2 linked regions of the Canis lupus familiaris genome follow. The protein of the gene in region 1 binds, or shares a complex with, the protein of each later gene. Links are inferred from orthologs where the notes say so. Each region holds a gene or a part of one and is shown in the gene's direction. Other genes may lie near its edges. The genes, in order: TBC1D20 and RAB1B.

The links.
Region 2: the proteins of TBC1D20 (region 1) and RAB1B are in contact, whole or in part, in a crystal structure (PDB 4HLQ), measured with the Homo sapiens proteins. The link is inferred for Canis lupus familiaris from reciprocal best matches to the Homo sapiens genes TBC1D20 and RAB1B. Residues at the interface, in NP_653229.1 of Homo sapiens: Gln97, Gln98, Leu101, Asp102, Arg104, Arg105, Leu107, Arg108, His141, Tyr142, Tyr143, Gln144, Gly145, His147, Asp148, Phe177, Met178, Asp179, Pro180, Thr181, Met182, Lys186, Val212, Ile215, Leu218, Ser219, Thr223, His227, Met272, Ala273; in NP_112243.1 of Homo sapiens: Ser17, Gly18, Ser36, Tyr37, Ile38, Ser39, Thr40, Ile41, Gly42, Val43, Asp44, Phe45, Gln60, Trp62, Ala65, Gly66, Gln67, Arg69, Phe70, Thr72, Ile73, Tyr77, Glu94.

Annotation. Positions count from the first base shown.
Region 1 is NC_049245.1:20,918,732-20,922,546, forward strand, and holds part of TBC1D20 (TBC1 domain family member 20), read left to right. Parts: intron 1-670; coding exon 671-857; intron 858-1,055; coding exon 1,056-1,157; intron 1,158-2,293; coding exon 2,294-2,435; intron 2,436-3,237; coding exon 3,238-3,425; intron 3,426-3,695; coding exon 3,696-3,815. UniProt on the Homo sapiens protein: GTPase-activating protein (GAP) specific for Rab1 and Rab2 small GTPase families for which it can accelerate the intrinsic GTP hydrolysis rate by more than five orders of magnitude. Also shows GAP activity for RAB18 GTPase.
Region 2 is NC_049239.1:51,528,973-51,531,529, reverse strand, and holds the end of RAB1B (ras-related protein Rab-1B), read left to right. Parts: intron 1-129; coding exon 130-261; intron 262-362; coding exon 363-557; 3' UTR 558-1,802; downstream 1,803-2,557. UniProt on the Homo sapiens protein: The small GTPases Rab are key regulators of intracellular membrane trafficking, from the formation of transport vesicles to their fusion with membranes.

The DNA of each region.
Region 1 (3,815 bases):
TAAGAATCAATTACAGACATGGTGTCCCCTTACCCCTAAATACTTCAGGGTGTGGTTCCTAAAATAAGGCTCTTGCATAACCATACTGCACTTATTAAAGTCAGCAACACACTGAAAAATACTGCTGCTAATGTATAGATGTTATTCAGGTCTAACCTTTTTCTGCAGTCATGTCCTTTAAAGGAAAGGAAACACAAACAGTGCAGGCATTTCCCATTCAGTCATCCTATCCTTAGCCTCCTTGACCCTGGAGTAGTTCCTTTGTATTTTATGACTCAGCTATTTTTATAAAATCTCCCTCAGTTTGGGTTGTCTAGTGTTTAGACTAAGGTGGATGTGCTCCTATAGGCATTCCACAGAAGCAATCCTGAGTTCTTTCCCAGGTGCCACAGCAGGACGCTCATGCCATTGGGTAGTCATGGCCCTGGCAGGGTCAGCTGTGACGGCCTGGTTAAGATGGCATCTGCAGTCTTCCCCACTATAAGGTTGCTATTCCGTGGCTCTTTCCTATGTGCCAAATAGTATCGACGGTATGTGGATTTTAATATGCGTTGCCAAATTGCTCATAATTCATTTTTTATTAAACATTTGGCAAGTCCTTTGCTGTCTTCCTCTCCTCATTACCAGGCTGCTCAGTGTATTCCGGTGCATCCCCTTTTTCCCTCCCCAGGCATGCCAGAGAAGCAGAGAGAGGGCCTCCAGGAAGAGCTGATCGACATCATCCTCCTCATCTTGGAGCGCAACCCTCAGCTGCACTACTACCAGGGGTACCATGACATTGTGGTCACATTTCTGCTGGTGGTAGGCGAGAGGCTGACAACATCCTTGGTAGAAAAATTGTCTACCCACCACCTCAGGTACCAGTGCAGAGGAATATAAGAGGATGGGTATCATTCCTCAAGCCCCCCTGGGGTTAACTCCTTGGCCCATTTTCTAGTCAGTGTTTCCAGTGGTTTGAACCCCACTGGCCCTTGTGTGGTTTGAGTGGTTAAAACCCCTTCGGCCCTCATCTGAGTGTTTAGTCTGACCAAGCTTATTGAATTATCTCCATCCAGGGATTTCATGGATCCAACAATGGACAACACCAAGCATATATTAAACTATCTGATGCCCATCATTGACCAGGTGAATCCAGAGCTCCATGACTTCATGCAGAGGTATATATGCATCTCCACTTATATACACACATGTGCACGCGAATAGACCCCCCTTTGTCTTTCTCCTGGCCCTCGTCTCTTCCTCACAAGTCCAGCTCAATCTCACCACCATCATATGTTGATTAGCGTTGAGTTCTTCCAGGTTGTCCTTTCTGTTTGCCAGCAATCTGGATAATTTAGTTCTGTACAGTCTGGGAGCACTTTTTAGATACTGTGCTCTTGTGGGGATACAAGATGTGTCACCGTGCATGCCTTGAGGTTACATCTGGTGGGGAGTGGTGGGGGAGGTGAGTATGCTGAGGTGGACTTTGAGGTTATTGCTACAAAAAAAGTATATATACACACTACTGTAGGGTCTCAAGTTGAGAAGGACAAGGCCATCCATGGGTTTTATTCACCAGGTTCCAAGGAGAAGAAACATTGCTTTACAAATCTCATGATTTTTTTTTCTCTTCCCTGTAATTGGAAATGTGTCCTTGGCCAATGCCTCACTCTTTTTTCTTTTCTTTTAATAATGGCTATGTCTTAAGATGTTTCGATCATCTCATGTTAACTGAACAATTAATACAGTTGTGTGTTTAAGCCTAAGAATATGTGCCTGTGTCCACCAAAAATGTATAGGACTTTCTCAGAAAGAAAATGATAGTATAGGGCAGCCCCGGTGGCGCAGTGGTTTAGCGCCGCCTGCAGCCCAGGGCGTGATCCTGGAGACCCTGGATTGAGTCCCATGTCAGGCTCCCGGCATGGAGCCTGCTTCTCCCTCTGCCTGTGTCTCTGCCTCTCTATGAATAAATAAATAAATAATCTTAAAAAAAAGAAAAAGAAAATGATAGTATAGTTCTGTGAACAGAGCTACTTCTTCCTCCTGTAATTGATACTGGTTAACCATTAGGAAAGCAGCCAGCGAAATAAGGCAACCAGGACCCCATCGTAGTATTAGTGTCACGATGGTGGGTATGTTTTAAGGACTTTGTATTCTGTGAGAAGATGCTGAATTCCTAGGTGGCTGAATTTTCCAGAGAATGTATTTCCCAGATTCTTCCTTCTCATAAGCACTGAGGACAAGGATGCCCCAGAGAGCGGGAGGCGACAGCCCATCAGGGAAAAACCTAACATGTGGATTTCTTTGCTCCTAGCGCTGAGGTGGGAACCATCTTTGCCCTCAGCTGGCTCATCACCTGGTTTGGGCACGTCCTGTCTGACTTCAGGCACGTTGTGCGGTTATATGATTTCTTCCTGGCCTGCCACCCGCTGATGCCCATTTACTTTGCAGCTGTGGTAGGTATAGGCCTCGAGGCAATAATTAAGTTCACCATCACCCACTCCATCGTTATCATTTTCCCTCCAGGGAAACCTGGTGATTATGGAAAGATGAGAAAAAGCATTTCCCAAACTGATGTCCCTGGACACCGTTCTGTATAGTGTTAATGGGAGTGTCATAGGGAAAGAAAAGTTCTGTGTAAAAAATAGGTTTGGGAAATGCTTGGTTAAACCAAGTTATAAAGAGATCTGTTTACTGCACGAGTCTTCTGAACCTTTAAAATGCTCGTATGTGTTATGAATTGTCTGTGTTCCTATTGACATGTTTTGGAACTAGTACAGACTGCCATCTCCAGGCTGGAGAGGGAAGAAGTGTGGTATTTCAGGGGAATACTAACGGGGTTTGGTGGGGCTCCATATCTTAGGAGGGCCTGAATTGTGGAGGTCAGGGTGGAGATGGGAGCACAAGGACACCCTTCACTGCTCTTGAAAGGGGAGCAAGACTGTTCTTCGACTGCTTTGAACCATTTCTTCTGTATTGGAGCTCCAAGAGTCTGTCCTCGATCCCTTTCCTTTTCTTCCTCCTAAAAGAACCTCCTTCATTTCGTTGATTGGCCTTCCACATCCTGGGGTGGAAGTTTGCCTGTAGCAGGAAGGGCCAGCCCCCTGGGAAAAGCACTCATGTACATTATCCCTTCCCGGATGGATACAAGAGTTTGCTGTCTGCTACCAATTTAAATTCATCTCTAAGGAGAATGACATGCAAGCGGTGAAGGCCGTGTGTGTCCTGGTCTCTGATACAAGGCCTTGCTCTCCACAGATCGTGTTGTATCGAGAGCAGGAAGTCCTGGATTGTGACTGTGACATGGCCTCGGTCCACCACCTCTTGTCCCAGATCCCTCAGGACCTGCCCTATGAGACACTGATCAGTAGAGCCGGAGACCTGTTTGTTCAGTTTCCCCCATCAGAACTTGCCCGGAAGGCAGCTGCCCAACAGCAGGCTGAGAAGTGAGTGAGGCCAAGGCTCTGGTTGAACTGGGTGTCTGTAAGTGAGCAGAAATGGTGGAAGATTGTGTCTGCTGGGGACAGGGCTGGGGGATGTTTGCAGAGATCTGAGCTCAGGCCAGCAGACTCCCTCCTTCAGCTTTCCTGGGTCTTGATCAAGAAGAGCCTTCTGAGCAGTGGATGGCTCTGCCCTCAGCTTCTGTAATAATCCAGTTTTAATTTCCTTCTCTTCTTTCATATTGTTTCCTTCTTCTGTCTCCTTACCTGCTGCAGGACGGCCGCCTCTACCTTCAAAGACTTTGAGCTGGCATCAGCCCAGCAGAGGCCTGACATGGTGCTGCGACAGCGGTTTCGGGGGCTCATGCGCTCTGAGGAGCGAACGAAAGATGTCCT
Region 2 (2,557 bases), on another chromosome or scaffold:
GTCCCTGAGCTCAGGGCTCCTGTCTCTCTCGGGAACCCAGGCAAACCCCCTTCAAAACCCCTTGTTCTCCTGGCCTTGAATAGGGGTGGGAGTTGGGAGCAAAATAATTTGTGATTCTGGCTTCTCTAGGAATCCTATGCCAACGTGAAGCAGTGGCTACAGGAGATTGACCGCTATGCCAGTGAGAACGTCAATAAACTCCTGGTAGGCAATAAGAGCGACCTCACCACCAAGAAGGTAGTGGACAACACCACAGCCAAGGTGAGTGGGGCCTGTGTCAGGCCCCCCAGGGCAGGCTGGGGTCTGCTGCCCCTCACCCCTCCTTTCCCACATTTCCCTCTTTTCTCTTTTTCCCTCATCAGGAGTTCGCAGATTCTCTGGGCATCCCCTTCCTGGAGACAAGTGCCAAGAATGCTACCAATGTTGAGCAGGCATTCATGACCATGGCTGCTGAGATCAAGAAGCGGATGGGGCCTGGGGCAGCCTCAGGGGGTGAGCGGCCCAACCTCAAGATCGACAGCACCCCTGTGAAGCCGGCTGGTGGCGGCTGTTGCTAGGAGGGGCACCTGGGGTGGGACAGGAGGGGGCACCTTCTCCAGATGATGCTCCTGGAGGGGACAGGAGGTGCCTCCCTCTCCTGGGGCATTTGAGTCTGTGGCTTTGGGGTGTCCTGGGCTCCCCATCTCCCTCTGGCCCATCTGCCTGCTGCCCTGAGCCCTGGTTTTGTCAAGGTCCCCAAGGGAGGACACCCAGGACCTTTGGCTGGGGTGGGGAGGTGGGCTTGCTCTGCTGCTGCCTCTAGGTAACTTTAAAAGATACCCCACCACACACCTTTCTTTGGGATGAGGGCTCCTCTTTCCCTCCCTTGCCCCCCATGTATGCTGCAGTGGGTTTCTCTCATCCTTTTCCTTCTCCACCCCACCCCTTCCCCAAGAGCTGGGAGCCTCCCTGGCCTCTATAGTCCCTGGCTGCAGTCAGCATCGGGGGCCAGGAATGGGACCAGGGGATCCAGGACCCAGGATCCAGGGCCCTGGGCTGGACCTCAGGAAGGGCATGGGGGCCACAGGGGCCCAGCAGCCCACCCTTTCCTCTCCTCCCTGCCTCTCCTCCCTGCTCCTTCCATACTCACAGCTCCAGCCGTCCAGCTGCGGTGGGGTCTGAGCACATCTAGAGCAGGTGGGCGGGCAGCCATGCTGGGCCTGTGTCTTGAGCCCAGAGGGAGCCTGCTCCTGCCACCCCCTGCCCTGCCAGAGCCAGGCCCATGTGCTGCCTGCCCACCGTGCCCCTTTGTCCCCAAGGCAGGCAGAGGCGGAAGGCCCACTGTGCCAGAGGCCGGGCATCAGCCTTAACCCTCACTCTGCCAGCACCTCTTCCCTTTCCCTGAGTCAGCACATCTGGCTTATTCTCTTCCTTCTGTTTGGAGCCTATGAGGGCAGGTCCTCATGCCCTGTCACTACTTCTCTTCTGGGGAATGTGGGTGCAAATCCAGGGTTGGGGGCCTCTCCCCTCACCCCCTCCCACCCAGGATCCTAGCCCCATGCCCTCTGGCATAGCTTCTTCCTGCAGAAAAACAAACCTTTGGTCTCTACCTGAGAAGCCATGTCCCTTGTGCTGTCTCTCGCCTGTCCCACCTGTGCCCTGCCCTCCAGCTTGTATTTAAGTCCCTGGGGTGCCCCTCACTCCCAGGTTCCCCTCTGGTGTCATGTCAGGCATTTTGCAAGGAAAAGCCACTTGGGGAAAGACAAAGGACAAAAAATAAATTTCCACTGGCCCTCGGGTGAGCCGAGGGTTTTTGCAAGGAAGTTGTGGTGGTTGAGTGTGGTCTGTGGTGGGAGCTGCCTTGGGTTGGGGGAATGGAACTGGGGCCCTGGGATTGGTGGCTGTACAGGGGTCCTGGCTTGGACTGTGTGTCCTAGGGTTGCTGTTGAAAGTCCTTGACCCACTTCCTAAAGCCAAGAGTGCTGCCTTCTTTTGCTTCTGTGGTGTGTCCCCACGGGCCCAGCACGGTTTTGGCAGAAAGGGAGGCGGTGGCCATCAGCTGCCGGTACCTGGTGAGGCTCTGTCAACACCCACACGGGCCCACATCTGTCCAGACTGTGGGCTTGGGCTGCAGACATGCACCATCAGACCAGGCCCTCATTCCCTTCAGCCCTCTCCCAGCTTTGCCCTGGGTTCAAGCCAAGAGTCTCTGCCCCCTTGGACAGTGCCAAGTTCCTCCCACTTAGGACCTCAGCCTGGCCTCCCAGGTCGGTGTGCACAATACAGTATGTTAGGGTAGGGGGGTGTGTGTGCTCTTCCGAGTGGACCGAACTCGTGTGACGCGGGGGGCGGGGGCGGGCACATGTTCAGGATGTAAGTCCATGCCTACGTGTCCCTGAGGTTGGGGCGGGGGTGGCGCTCGGCCCGGCGGTGCCAGCGAAGGGGCGCACAGAAACCCAGCCCCGCCTGAGGCGGTTCGCACGACGGCCCCGCCCCCGGCTCCGCCCCGCCGGCTTCGCGGGCTGGAGAGCGAGGGAGCCGCGGGCGAGGGATCGCAGGATGAGCAATCGCGGCCCGG